Elephas maximus indicus: one gene and its partner. Each later gene encodes a partner of the first gene's protein in a complex. Links are inferred from orthologs where the notes say so. Each region holds a gene or a part of one and is shown on either strand. Other genes may lie near its edges.

Region 1 (7,225 bases):
TGATGCTCCCCAAATCAGGAAAAGCGTGAGCTCACTAATAGAGCTCAGGAACCATGCCTTTAATCAAAAGGCAAAGATCACTCCCTTGGCTCGCCTCTGTCCCTGCTACCTGGGCCCCAAATCCAGACCCTGTGAATGCGTGTTGGAAGTGGTGATCCAAAGGGGCATCTGAGCCATAGTGCTGAAGGGCAGAGCTTAGCACCTCTGAGATTCTGGCCCACAGAGGTGACTGCTCGTCATCTAGCTGGGATGAAGGCTAGAGGAGCTGGGATGGTGGGAGGAATGGCCTGGAAATAGGGAGGTTAATGGCAAGAAGTGTGGCTGTGAAGGGCCTTGTGGAGTACGGTGGCCATTTATGGTATTGCTGCTTCCTGCTGGGGGCCCTCGGGCAAGTGGCTTAACCTCTTCCAACCTCAGCCTCTTCATCTGTAAAATGGTGATCCCAGTACTTCCTTTATGGAATTGCAGTGGGAATTAATGGGGATGATTGTGTAGATCTCCCGGTCCATAGGAGATCTCAATAAATGTGAGTTCTCATTCTCTGCTTGCCCATTTCTGCATGGAAGTGGGTTGTGGCTGTAGGCTGGCTCCACAATGACTCCTGCGGACAGGGGCACAGGGAGCTGTGAGTGGTGCTCCGCAGAGGGGCTGAGGTGGGGTCTCCGAATGGACGGGGAGAGCAGGAAGAGCGTGTCAGGGAGCTTGCCCTCCTGGAGGGGTATGGTAAACGTGGGGTGGTAAGATGAATAGAGGAGACATAAGCCCCCTCCCATTTTGATTACTGAAGATGCAGTTTGACCTACCAAAACTACTCCCAGCTCCATGCAGAATTGCGTTGATATTCTCAACCCTTTTGCCTTGGAGTCATGCTTAGGTCAAGAAAGCCTTGGCTTGTATGTGGTGGGGAGAGAGGCCCTCTATATATGCAGTAGGTTCTGGGGGCCCTCCAGGAAAACTGCTGCCCTCTACTACCTGTCTGATGCCACTTGCTGGTCAACTCCTCAGATCCCTCTCCCATGCCCTATTCCAAAGCTGTGGCTGCAAGTGCTGAAGAATTGTGGAAAGGGGACTAAAGAGAGAGTGTGGCTTGCCAGGCCAGGGAGAAATCCTTCAAGAGTGTTTGTGTTTGGGGCTAGGAGTCAGGACCACTAGGGAGTTAGGTCAAGCAAGCAGAGCTCCATGGGACCTCTGATATTGTTCCTAGGAATTGAGACAGACCCAAGCACCCAGAAAAAAGCCATTCTCATTAGAAACAGTAATCCCTGCTGTTTGTGGTGATGCAGATGAAGGAAGGTAGGGGTGGTGGTGGTGGCTATAGCCCTGGCATTCATGGTGGTGGTGATGATGGTGGTGGTGGTGGTGATGGTGTGGTAGTCACGGTAGTGGTTGTGATGATTGTGGTAGTGATGGTAGTGATAGTTGTGGAGGTTCTGGTAGTAATGTTGACAGTGATAGTCATAGTCATGTGGTCATGGTGGTACTGGCGTTGGTGGTTGTGGTGATGGTAGTCACAGTGCTGCTGGTGTTGGTGTAGGTGGTTGTTATGGTGACAACAGTAACGATGGTAGTCATCACAGTGATTCCTAGCAAAGGAATACCCTGATCACAGCTCTGCTGTCTACAGTATGGTCAGGCCAAGGCGTCACATTATAAAATAACCTTTCATATCAAATAACTAACACACTGGAGCATCAGCTCCATGAGGGCAGCTTCTGTTGTTCACTGCTGAGTCCCCAGTGCCCAGAACAGTATGTGACATATAGCAGGTGTTCAGTAGGTATGTGTTGAATGAAGACTAGGGGATTGAGTGCCTCCTTGTAGTGGACACTATGTTACCTCATTTAATCCTCATCATGCCCCTTCAAGATAGGATCTTTTAAATTCCCATTTTATACATGAGGAAGCTGAGACCAAGAGAGATGAAGTAACCTAAGACTACAAAGAAATCAGTGGGGACTTGGAGAGGGAACAGGCATCCATACTCAGACCAGTCTGACTCTTAGGGCAGTGCTCTTCCCTCTGCACACTTCAAGCCAACACTCAACATTACATTGTGGTCTTGTGCTGGGCTTAATCACGGGAGTACTGTTAATCATAGCAACAATTTCTGTCTATAATTGTCCGAGTAAGGCTTACATGATCAAGACCATGGAAATTATTAATAACCCAGGCCCAGCCATGGTACCGTGGGTCATATTAAGTTGTGTCGAGATGGATAACCTCGGCAATAATAGTAACTGGGATCATAGATTAATAACAGAAGTGTTTAAATTAATGCCACACTGTTGATACCTTTGGTAGTAAGCAGCTGGATGCTGCTGTTAATACTAATGGTGCCCCTTCCTGTCTTCCATGAATTCCACTGAGAGGAAAGGCAGGTCCATAAAAGCAGTGGGAGGAGGAGGCATCTTAGAGGCTGCCCCTGTCCAGGAGAGATGAATCCTCTGGGGCTGCTGAAGAGGTGCTCACACGCCCAGCCATAGAGACGGTGGCTCGTCACCAACATTATTCTCAAGATGATGTCCACTTGAGCCCTTCTGGGGCTGTCCCCCACACTTCATTGGTCATGTTGGAAAGAAATTCAGAGGGCAGATTTTTTTTTTCATAAATGAATGAATTCGTTTCAGCTGATTGAGGTCACCATGAATCAGAATCAACTCAACAGCATTTGAGTTGCTGCATTTTTGAATATAGGAAATCACTTATCAACTACTCGTTAAGTGCTCTTGATCTCCTCCTTATCCTGTAATTTGGGAGACTTCTGTCGTTTTTCCAGAGTGGAAACTGAGCTCCAGGTATGGCCAAGAAGAGGGTGCTGGGTATGGGCTTTGTAGATTAGCCCCCAACAGCTCTGTGCTCCAGGGACCTCGTGTCTGGGGACCAGGAAAGGGTGGGGCAGATGGGAGTTGAGCATCAGGTTTTGGTGCCTTTAGCACATTCCCTGGATTGGAAGGGCCTTAGATTTGGACTTACCAAGTTTCTAGGACATGGTAAGTGTGGTCCTGGGGACAGATCTGCCCCAGCACCTAGAGAGTACATGGATGGGTGAATGGAGGGAGTGTGAGTATTTATGAATCCCTCTAATCACTTATCCATTTATTTCATTCTATAGAACTTTATTGAACAGCTATTGTGCACTGGGCATTCAAACAAGAAGCCATAGTCCCTGCCTGCCAGGAGATTATGATCTAATGAAAACACAGTCTAGTGAAGTCTATATTGTTGAAGATGTATTTGTGTATGAGAGTATGTGTTCAGGAATCTGTGTTCACACATGTGTTAGAGGCTGTATAGATGTGAGGGCTTGTGCGGATGTAACCATTCACCTGATGTTGTACATGTGAATGCGTCAATGTGTAGATGAGTATGTGTCTGAGTGTTATGTCCACATGGGCCAAGAGGGCGCATGTGTGCATGAATGTGGAGAAGCACATATATGTTCGTGATTCTCCATCTACCTTACGTGTCGGGCGTGCAGGTCCACAGAGATGTGTGGGTGTCTGTGAGGGCATAAGCACAGATATATGTGAGCTTCAGAGTGTGTTTCCGTGTATTCTTGTGTTTTGTGTGCATACCTGTGACCCCTTCAAATCCATCATTTGAAAATTTAAATGATGGTGGGGTGGACTCCATCCTGAATTACCCCACTGCATCCCCCTCCCCCCAGGCCACCTGCTCTCCCTCCCTTCTCCCTAGACCTTTGCACCGAGAACCCCCGCACTCGGAGGAAGAGTGGAGGGGAATGGGCCTGCAGATGAAGGGTGGGGCGGCAGTGGACACATGCTGATAACGGCTGGGTAGGGAGCAAGGTACCAGCGAGAAGCTGAAGCCAGAGGCGGAGGAAGAAGGGTAAGAGAGTGAACCCTGCGGCGGTCCACAGCCGGAGAGCAACGCGAGCCGCAGTGGGGACGCCCTGGCCCCTGGGCCCACAGCATCCGGGCCGGATGCGCAGCAGCGCGGGCCAGACACCGGGTACCAGGGTGATGTGGGTGAGAGCCTCCTAGGGCCAGGGCACAGAGAAGCGGCGGCAGGGCACGCGGGCGCGGTTGCCCGCACGCCCTCCCTTCCCCTCCACCCCCCTCCCCGAGGCAGCGGGGCGGGCGGGCGCGGTTCCGGGGGTGGGCGGGCTGGGCGAAGAGGAGGCGGGGCCGCCGCACTGGCTTCATCCAGCCCCTCCCGCCGCAGCCAGAGCGAGCGGAGCCGCGGCCAGCTCCAGCGGGCGGCCAGCGCTGGAGCGCAGCGCAGCGCAGCCCTATCGGTCTGCGGAGTGGGCTGAGCTGGAAGCTGAGAGCGGCCGCGGAAGACCGGCGATGAGGGCAGGTGCCACTGGCGGTGCCATGGACCGGCCGCGCCTACTGCTGCTGCTGCTCCTAGGGGTGAGTGCTAGCCCAAAGGGAATCCGCTTCCTTCCCTGGGATCGGAACCCCGAGGGGAGCCGGGCGCCGCGGCTCTGGAGACGACAGAGCATTGGGGTCCTAGATGCTAGGGACTCTGATGCCGGGATCCATGGAGGAGCGTCGCCAGTTCTCGGGGCGCAGACCCTAGGTTTCAGGGTAAAGATGTGGGCAAGAGGGGCGCACGGATGCCGGTCCTCAGGTACCGCGGAGAGATGCGGGGAGAGTTGGGAGGGGTCTCTAGGCAGGAGATGAGAGGCGCTCGGATGCCTGGGTTCTTCGGAAGAAGGCGCTTGAATGCTGGAATCTCGAGGGGGCTCCAGGGTCGTGGGACGGAACCAAGGCGAGAGGAGAGGGAATGGAATGGGGTTTGGACATGTGAAGGGGCGAGGGGCTGGGGTACGGAGCCGGAGACGAAGGAATGGAACAATGGGGGAGGAGGCTGGAGGGACTGGAGGCAGAGGGGACCCGGCATCGGACAATGCGGACAGGCCAGACAATGAGGGGGAGGGGCGTTGAAGGGAGAGGTTCGGGAGCGACAGGGCAGTCGAGGAGAGTATAGGTGGGTTAGGGACGGCAGAAAAGGGACGACAGCGAGGGGGTAGGGAGGTGGAAGCAAAAAAAAAAATCGGTTCGAGAAGGGAGTGTGGATCCTGAGGCTGTCGGGGGCCCCGCCTGCCCATTGAAGGACAGTGGGACGAGGAGAGAGAGAAGAGGCAGTGGCGTCGAGGAGCCCTGGGGACGGTTCCCGCGCTCTTCCTCGCGGTCTCGCCCAGTCGGGGAGTTGCGGGTAGGAAGCCGGGCTGGGAGCGGAGTGACCGCTTCGAGGGGCGAACCCGCTCCCTGGCTTCCCCAAGGCTGGCCGACTCCTCAGACGCGCGTGTGCTGGCGGTTTGAAGGAGCGCCGCGGACCCGGAGCGATGGAGCAGGCATCACTCGCTGGAGTCTGGCGGCGGCCGGGTCCTGGGATGGGGTGCAGAACGCCCGGGCGCGCAGAGCCGGCACAGTCCAGTCCGCGCGCAGCCTGGGGTCGCGCCGGCGGGAGGCGGCCCGCAGGGGGCGCTCCGGGGCTGGCCATGTACCCTCCGTAGCTGCGTCCGCGCGGAGGGCTGCGCGCCGCCCCCCACTAAGTTACGCGACCCCAGCGACTCGCCCGGTGCGCCTCAGAGGCTCGGGCTCCCACCCGCGTCCGGCTCAGCGTTCTGTGGAACGCCTGGGATTCTGTCCGGCCGTGACCAGAGGAACCGACTGGGCAAAGGACGGCAGGTCCCCCCGGTAGTTCTGACACGATTTTCAAGATGTGACCTAGTGGGTGGCCATGAACTGAGTGCTCGGGAAGGTTCGGCAATGGAGCAGGCGTCCTCACCCTCCCGGCCCTCTTCATCTCTCATCTGAGTATTGCCCCCCCAAATCCCCGTTTTACAGATAAGGAAACAGGCTTTGAGGGCTTAAACGACTGAACCAAGATCCCACAAGCAAGTTGGCGTAGAGTCGGAGCTAGACTCCTCGCAGCGCACCTGAGTCCCATCTCCGTCTCCGGCCCCGAAGGGCGCTCCAGTTCGTGACAAGAGCGGCGTGTTAGGGCGGGGGGGGGTCCCCAAAGTCAGGCCGGCGATGGAACATGGGGGCGGGGTAGCAGCCCCTCTCCGGGCGCTGGCCCCCATCCCTGGAGCTGTCAGTACCTGTGGCTTCGTCCCAGGCTTTGGGAGTGACCGAGGGCTCGTTTGCTGACTAACGTCGCCCAGCAGAACGGCCTCTCGGCCCGGAGTGGGGAGGGGAACTGGGCGGCCAGCGCTGTGCGGGTCCCGGAGGGGCGGGAAGAGAGAGTGTCCCCGGGCGGAGAAGAGGCGAGGAGGGACAGGAGCTGGACGTGGAGGGCCTGCGGGCTGGAGGAGGTGGCCCCCGCGCAGAACCTGCCGCGCGCAGCCCCGCGGCCCTCGCCTCCGCCCCGACGCCGGCGGCGGTGCCTGGGCCGGCTCTGCGCACCGCCGCGGTCCGACTTTCTTCCTGGGCCGCGGCGAGAGAGTGTTGAAACCAGAGCGCGTCCGGCCGGGTAGGCTGGCGGGCCGCGCCGGTAATGGAGGCACTTTGTCATTCAGACGTCTGTAACCGGAGCCGCCGGGCCGGCTAATGCGCCTAATAGGGATGCAGCCAGGGCAGCAAATGGGCGGCGGGAGCGGCCGGGCTGGGGGGAGGCGGCTTCCGGAGGGAAAGCCCCCCACCCAGCTGGACCAGCCCGGCCCAGCCCCGCGCCTGGCTACTTCCCGCGGGGGGGGGGGGGTGGTGCGGGGCGGGAGTGAGGAGGCGGGAATAATATGTTGCGTGCCTACAATGTGCCACACACCGTCCTGGGTACTTTCTTTCGCGTTATTTAATCCTTATAAAGTCCCAGGAGAGTAAATCTAGTTATTCCCATTTTACAGTTGAGGAAGCCGTACCTCCCAGGCTTTTAGGCACAAGACCAGCTCCCCCAGTGAGTGAGTGGTGCCACCCTTGTTGGAACCCAGGATGCTTGGCTCCAAGTCCTGTCTTTCCTCTGCGTGAAGGTGTGCCCTCCCTTACCCTCTTCTAGATCATTGAGGAATGCCTGACCCTGAATCCTTACTAGCCTAGGTTAGATGTGTGCCCCAAGCTGTCGGCACCACAAATTTGGAAACTGAGCCCCTTTGCCCTCACACAAAGCTCTTAAGTCTGCAAACAGCATCATACTAGTAACTGGCTCATGTCTCCCACCCCAAAATTCAACCTCTGAAGGGGAGGGGGGGTGCAGGTACCAGTGCCTTCCCTGGGTTTGCATGGACCTCAAAAGACCTCCCAGATATTTGAAAACC
Region 2 (7,083 bases), about 28 Mb from region 1:
AGTCTTCGTGTAGAAAATCCTGAGGAATCCACACAAGAAACTACTGGAACTAGCAAACAAGTTTAGCAAGGTCACAAGAATAATAACGTCAATATACAAAAATCAGTTGTATATCTGAGCAGACAATGGTCAAAAAAATGAAATTAAGTAAATAATGCCACTCACAACAGTATCAAAATGAATAAAATACTGAGGAACAAATTTAACAAAAGTGCCAGACCTGTATATGCTGAAAACTACAAAATACTGCTGAATTAAAGAAGACCCAAACAAATGCACAGAATTGTTCGTTGACTGGAAGACTCAATATTGTTAAGATAGCAGTTCTTACCAAATTGTCCTGTAGAGTCAGTGCAATCCCTATCAAATTCCCACTGGGATTTTATTTTGAGAAATTAATAGCTGATTTTAAGAAATTTATATGGAAAATCACTGGACCTAGGATAGGTAAAACAATTTTGGAAAGAATGAAGTTAGAAACTTACACTACCTAATTTCAAAACTTATGATAGAGCTATAGTCATCGTGATGTTTTGATATTGAATAAGGATGTGGACTAAATGGAGCAGAACTGAGAGTTCAGAAATAAACCCTTATGTCTACAGTGAATAAATTTTCAACACCAGTGGCAAGACAGTTCAGTGGAGGAAATTATAGTCTTTTCAACAAATGGTGATGGGACAAAGATGAAACACTGACTTCACACCATATACAAATACAAAAATTAACCAAAAAAATGGATTGTAGACCTAAATGCCACAGCTGAAACTATAAAAGAAGAAAATACAGGGAAAAATCTTCACGACCTTAGGTTAGGCAAAAGAGTTCTTAGCAATGACACCAAAAGAAAGAAACATGAAGGAAGAAGTTGACGATTTGGACTTCATGAAAATAAAAATTTTCCCTTCAAAAGACACCATTAAGACAATGAAAGACAATTATTGCTTATGGAGTCCCCAGCTTAGGTTGGGGTTCTGGTCCGATAATGCCATTGTAAGAGTCTGTTCTGACATAAGTTGAATACTTTTTTTTTTTTTTTAGTTTTCATAGCCTGCTGTACAGCAGTTTTGTGAACAGCAAATTACAACATTGAACATCTGTGAGTGAACATCTGAGCATGATAACGTCAGCAAAGTACACATTGCAACATTGTATGTAATACCTATTGCTAAGGATAAGATGTATTTAAAAAAAAAAAATGGTAACTCAATGATGTTGGGGACTACCTGTACTGAGTTTCAGTTTATGGTGATAGAAAAATCTCATGAAGGGTAGGGTTGCACAGTAGATTTATGTAGTTGCTGTCAATAAGTTGTACACCTGTAAAAAGCTGAATTGGTAAAAGTGTAGTAGATACATTTACAATGACCAAAAAAAAAAAAAAGCTGCCGAGGCTGCTTATGTACTGTCGAACACCTCATGGAATTGGGTTCCTTAATTTGGAGGTTTAGAGTCATGGTTTCATGGAACATCCCAGTTAACTGTCCTAATAATGTGTTTAGTGCTTCTGTTCAACCTCCTAGTTCGATGCCTGGGGTCTTAAAGGCTTGCAAACATCCAAGGCTCAACAATTGGTCTCTATTCCCCTGGAGCAACAGGAAGAAGAGTCAGAAATGAAAGGAGGAAATGGAATGTGCGGCTTATTGCCTCCATGAACAACTGCCTCCTTTGCTATGAGACCAGAACTGGATGGTATCCTGCTGCCATTACTGAACATTTTAATCAATGATTCTATAGAAGAATTCTGGTCTAAAGCGGGGAAATGCAGAAGAATTTCAAATTTTCATGGAATCCAAATCTTTCTGGAGCCATGGAGGCTAGATGAACCCTGAAATGATTGCCCTGAGATTATCTAAACCTTAAAACAAAAATATCCCCTAAAGTCATCTTAAAACCAAACAATAGCTAGTAAAGAACATTTGCCTTGAGCATTGTGCTTTTTTAAGATTAATCTATGGGATCAAATTGATGACAGCAACTTGAAAGATTAGATAAGAAGCTCAGGGGGCAATGAGTTTATGTTAATGGAGGAGGAACAGCTCAGAAAAAAGTGAGAATGGTTGCACAACTAGAATGTAATCAATGTCACTGAATTTGTACATGTAGAAACTGTTGAATTGGTATATGTTCTGCTGTGTATATTCTCAACAAAAAATAATTTTAAAAAAGCTACAGAAAATATCTGCAATCATAAAGTCAATGGACTTGTATCCAGAATGTAAAGAAGCTGTTACGGATTGAATTATGTCCCCCCAAAATATGTGTCATGATTCCCAGTACTGCGCAGTTGCCCTCCATTTTGTGATCTGATGTAGTTATCCTATGTATTGTAAATCCTAACGTCTATGATGTTGATTTATGAGTTGGAATCGACTCAACGGCACTGGGTTGGGTATGATGTTAATGAGGCAGGACACAGTCTACAGGATTACGTTGTATCTTGAGTTCATCTCTTTTGAGATATAAAGGAGAGAAGCAAGCAGAGAAGAGAGGGGCTTCAGTACCATCAAGCAAGAAGCGTCAGGAGCAGAGTGCGTCCTTTGACTTGGGGCCCCTGTGCTGAGAAGCTCCTAAACCAGGGAAAGATTGATGACAAGGACCTTCCCCCAGAACCGACAGAGAAAGCCTTCCCCTGGAAGTGGTGCTCTGGATTTGGACTTCTAGTCTACTTGCAGCATTATATAACTAAGACAGGAGCCCTGGTGGTGCAACCATTAAGCACTCAGCAGCTAACTGCAAGGTTGGGAGCTCCAACCCACTCACAGACTGGGAGAAAAGACCTGGTGATCTGCTCCATAAAGATTGTACATAGCCAAGAAAATTCTTTGGGGCAGTTCTACTCTGTCACATGAGGTCGATATGAGTAGAAATCAACTCAAGGGCACCTAACAACAACCACATTTAGAATATATGCCCTTCCAGCCTTGGACACCAATAAGTGAAAGAGACCCAGCACCCAGCGTTGGGATGTGGTGAGGGAGTCAGGGCCTGTGGTGTAGGTGAGGCGGAGCATCAGTGCCAGGAACTTCCTTCACTTGACAATCATGGAATTGCTCGGTAATGGGATGCCTCTGAAGTGATCCCCCAGCGAAGAAGACAGTGTGCTGGGCTTGAAGAACCCTGTGATTCGAAGTCGGCCCTGAAGGGGCTGAAAGGAGAGACTGGCAGAGGAGAAGCCTCGGGCCTCTGCAAGGTGTGGACAGTCAGCAAAGGTTCAGGCCCTTGGCTAGGTGTGGGTGGTTTCCAGAAGATGCTGGTATCCACGGCCTTGCTCATCAGCACGAGCAGTATACAGGGCAGGGCAGTGGGGACACTGTGGCCCACACGCAGGGACCTGACCAGACGCCTGGGAACCGTCTCCCCAGCGTTCCCTCAGAACCTAACCCAATGCTGAGTGCTCACTTAAGCTCGTAGGAAGCCTCAGGACACGGGACATTGCCAGGTGGCACCAAGAGGAGCAATGCGATGCGGACGGTCCGAGTTGGAGGACAAAAGGCCAGTTAGGGCGACCCTCTGGGAGAAACATTTGGGGTGGATGGCGGGCTTTTGGGTTCAGTGTGATGCTGCAACCGTGTGTACGTGAAGGGACACGCTTATTTTAAAGATGCGTGTTAATTGCCTGGAAGGGCGATAACATGACCTGTGATTTTAAATGCTTCCAGGTTAAAAGCAAGCTGTATCAAAACGTTCAGTTAATAGATCAATATAATCGACAAAGCTGCTCAGTCTGGGCGGTGGACATGAGCTCGGTCACACCGTCTCTGCACATCTCGTTACAAAAAGTGAAGGAGGGCGCGGCGGCCGAGAGGCCGTACCCCGAGGTGCTTAAGCAACCAAGAGAGTCACAGCACCCAGATATCAGAAGCAAAGAAGAAAACACAAAGCCGCATCCGGTCTCCGGCCCAGCCCCTCCGCCCGCCCACGCGGGACCGCCCCGCAAAGCCCCAGCCCAAGATGGCGGCGACGCGCTCCTGGCCGCCACCCGCACGCCCGCGCCTTGCGCATGCGCTCTCCGACCCGGCCCTGCCCGCGCATGCGCCCCGGGTGTGGCCCAGCCCGCCTGGGAGCGGAAGTCGCGTGACCCCGGAAGTGACAAACGGGCTGGCAGGCGGGTGGGTCGCCGCGACGTTCGTCACTTCGTGCGGGAGGGAGCGAAAGGCCGCGCGGTCGAACCCTCCGGTGAGTGCCCGCGGGCGGCGGGGTGGCGGGGCGGTGGACGGGACGAGATGGGGCCGCGCGGGCGGGTGAGGGGCGCGCGCCGCCGGCTTTGTTTCCGCAGCCCCGCCCTGCCCCGCCCTGCGGCCCGGCCTGGGGATCCCGGCGGGATCCGGGCGCGAGGACGGCGCTGCGCGCGGCGGTGACAATCGGGCCTGGCCCGCGCGGTGGCCGGGGAGCGGAGGGCGCGGACCCCGGGCTGGCGGCGGCCGCACGTGCCGTCCGGGGCGGAGGCGGCGCGGAGCCAGGGAGGAAGCGCCTGAGGCGGGGAGGGGCCTCGCTGTGGCCATCCGGCTGGCTGCCCGGCCCCGCCGATGCGCACCCACCTGCCTGCACCCGAGCCTGATGCGCCCCGCATCCGGCACGTGAGGCGGCTGGCAGAGCCCGGGGCCTGTGGACCCTCGGGGCGCGCCAGCGGTGGGGCGCGCGGGTCTTCGTGCACCGCGGCAGCCCCGCCCCGCCGCGCCCCGCCGGGCCTCGCCCGCCCAGATTGCAGGGCCGCACGGAAGTGCTGGCGGCGGGGCGCGCGCTCTCGAGGCAGAGCTGCCCTGAGGCCACCCTGCTGCGCCCCGGGCCCGCGCCTTTCAAGAAATCCTAGAGGAATCCTGGGGGGCAGCGAGCGGGAGGCGAGGGAGGGCCTGCGGCGGCTCCGAGGCCCAACCCTGGGGCCACTACGTGCATCCCAGTTTTGAAGTAGGCCTGTTTCTGGGGTTGGTTACTTTTCCCGGAAAAGCCTGAGAGCTTGAAACGATTGAGCGGGTTTTCAGCAAACGTTGGGGAATCCCGGTTGGAGAATTCCAGTGGGAGCAGAATGTGGGTCCCTAGCGGGAAAGCCCCGTGTGACTTTTCTGGGGACTCTTGGTCACAAACTCACACAGTTGGAGGGAACCTTGGCAGAAACTTGGGGCTGGCCTCGTGTCCCGCGGAGGCCCCTGTGGAGCTGAGCTCCAGAAGAGCTTGATGTTAGCAGGTTGAGTCGGAGCCTGTGTTCTGCTTAAAGGTTTCATTATGGGGGGTAGGGTCTGGGTCAGAGGAGTGGCCCTTACAGGGAGGCTGAGCTCACTGACCGGTGGGGGTCATGGCAGCGGGCTTGGGCAGCAATATCCCGAGTCTTTAGAGGTGATCCACTCAGGCCCTGCCGGGTGGCTCTGGGAGTAGCTAGGTCATGAGGTGCCCCAGCCTCACCCCCTTCCCTTGGGTCCCTGAGGGAGCAGGGCAGTGGTGCCCATTCAGTCCTGGGTGCCTTGTCTGCGTGGTGCCTTGCACTGCCCACGCCCCCTCCCCCCCCAGCATGACTCCCCTGAGGTGGGCAGGCCTGGGATACATGTGGGTTCTTTCTGAGTTGCAGAAAGCTGTTCCTTGGGCACTCTCTGTTCCTCAGGCACACGTTGGCTGCAGCAGGAGCCCCCTTCCTGTTTTCCTCCTTTAGGAGTGGCCTGCAGGGGGCTGGAGGGCTGGCTTCTTTAGTGGCAGGGTCCCAGGGGGCACAGGCTTTCCTCCAGGCTGCCACAGCTCCTGCCGACCCCCAGGCATCCCAGAGGTGAGTGAGCATGGCTGAGCAGGAGCCCACCGCTGAGCAGCTGGCACAGATTGCAGCTGAGAATGAGGAGGACGAGCACTCGGTTAACTACAAGCCACCGGCCCAGAAGAGCATCCAGGAGATCCAGGAGCTGGACAAGGACGATGAGAGTCTGCGCAAGTACAAGGAGGCCCTGCTGGGCCGCGTGGCCGTGTCTGCCGGTGAGGACCCCACTGTTCCCCCAGGCAGCCTTTCCTCTGAGTTTTATCTGCTGCCCCCCTGTCCTGCTCTGGTGGGTTACCAAGTACAAGGAGGTCCTGCTGGGCCACGCAGCCATTTCTGCTGGTGAGGCCACTGCTTCCCCTGCGTCCCGCCCCCCTCGTGGGTTACCAAGGACTGGGGCGCTGATTTTCTGTCCATCCCCAGACCCCAACGTCCCCAATGTCATCGTGACACGGCTGACCCTGGTGTGCAGCACCGCCCCAGGCCCCCTGGAACTGGACCTGACAGGTGCGTGGCAGCCAGGATTCCTGGGTGGGGCCGGTGGCACCCTGTTGCTTTCCCTGAGCATTGGTGCCCTGTGGTGGGGAACATCAGCTGCAACCAGGTGGCCTTTGAAGGGTTTTGGCCCCGGAACAGCCTGAAGAGTTGGGGTGCCTGCACCGGGGCATGTGTGTCCATGTGCTGGCATGGAGGGACTAGGCTGATGCAGGTCTGAGGTGTATAGGATGAACCACAGACTTCTCTGAGAGTCTCTGTCCGCAGGAGACCTGGAGAGCTTCAAGAAGCAGTCGTTCGTACTTAAGGAAGGCGTGGAATACCGGATAAAAATCTCTTTCCGGGTAAGGAGGGTGGGGGCTGCCGGTACGGGGCTGCAGGGAGGGCCGGGCTGGCTGAGGGGCTGACCGGCTGCTGTCCCCAGGTGAACAGAGAAATTGTGTCTGGCATGAAGTACATCCAGCACACCTACAGGAAAGGCATTAAGAGTGAGTGCACCTGTGTTTCTTCTGTGCCTTGCCCTCCCCCAGACAGCCACCCCGGCACAGGTGGGGTGGGAGGGGGTGGAAGGAGGTGGGGCAGCACTGATGGGGGGGTCCCTGTGGCTGCAGTTGACAAGACCGACTACATGGTGGGCAGCTACGGGCCACGGGCAGAGGAGTATGAGTTTCTGACCCCCATGGAGGAGGCACCCAAGGGCATGCTGGCACGGGGCAGCTACACTGTCAAGTCCCACTTCACGGATGACGACAAGACAGACCACCTGTCTTGGGAGTGGAACCTCACCATCAAAAAGGACTGGAAGGACTGAGCCCTGGCTGGGAGGAAGACAGGGAGGGACAGACGGACGT

What was found. The genes of interacting proteins can lie anywhere in the genome.
Region 2: the proteins of NGFR (region 1) and ARHGDIA are in contact, whole or in part, in an NMR structure (PDB 8X8T), measured with the Homo sapiens proteins. The link is inferred for Elephas maximus indicus from reciprocal best matches to the Homo sapiens genes NGFR and ARHGDIA. Residues at the interface, in NP_002498.1 of Homo sapiens: Arg274, Trp275, Ser277, Cys278, Lys279, Gln280, Lys282, Gln283, Gly284, Ala285, Ser287, Arg288, Pro289, Val290, Asn291, Gln292, Thr293, Pro294, Pro295, Pro296, Glu299, Lys300, Leu301, Ile307, Ser308, Val309, Gln312, Ser313, Asp316, Gln317; in NP_001172006.1 of Homo sapiens: Ala8, Glu9, Leu11, Ala12, Gln13, Ile14, Ala15, Ala16, Glu17, Asn18, Glu19, Glu20, Asp21, Glu22, Val25, Pro30, Ala31, Gln32, Lys33, Ile35, Gln36, Glu37, Ile38, Gln39, Glu40, Leu41, Asp42, Lys43, Asp44, Asp45.

What each region holds. Positions count from the first base shown.
Region 1 is NC_064837.1:44,082,799-44,090,023, reverse strand, and holds the start of NGFR (tumor necrosis factor receptor superfamily member 16), read left to right. Parts: upstream 1-4,204; 5' UTR 4,205-4,310; coding exon 4,311-4,376; intron 4,377-7,225. UniProt on the Homo sapiens protein: Low affinity receptor which can bind to NGF, BDNF, NTF3, and NTF4. Forms a heterodimeric receptor with SORCS2 that binds the precursor forms of NGF, BDNF and NTF3 with high affinity, and has much lower affinity for mature NGF and BDNF.
Region 2 is NC_064837.1:71,666,375-71,673,457, reverse strand, and holds the start of ARHGDIA (rho GDP-dissociation inhibitor 1), read left to right. Parts: upstream 1-4,071; 5' UTR 4,072-4,179; intron 4,180-5,744; 5' UTR 5,745-5,765; coding exon 5,766-5,955; intron 5,956-6,160; coding exon 6,161-6,244; intron 6,245-6,499; coding exon 6,500-6,576; intron 6,577-6,656; coding exon 6,657-6,720; intron 6,721-6,843; coding exon 6,844-7,043; 3' UTR 7,044-7,083. UniProt on the Homo sapiens protein: Controls Rho proteins homeostasis. Regulates the GDP/GTP exchange reaction of the Rho proteins by inhibiting the dissociation of GDP from them, and the subsequent binding of GTP to them.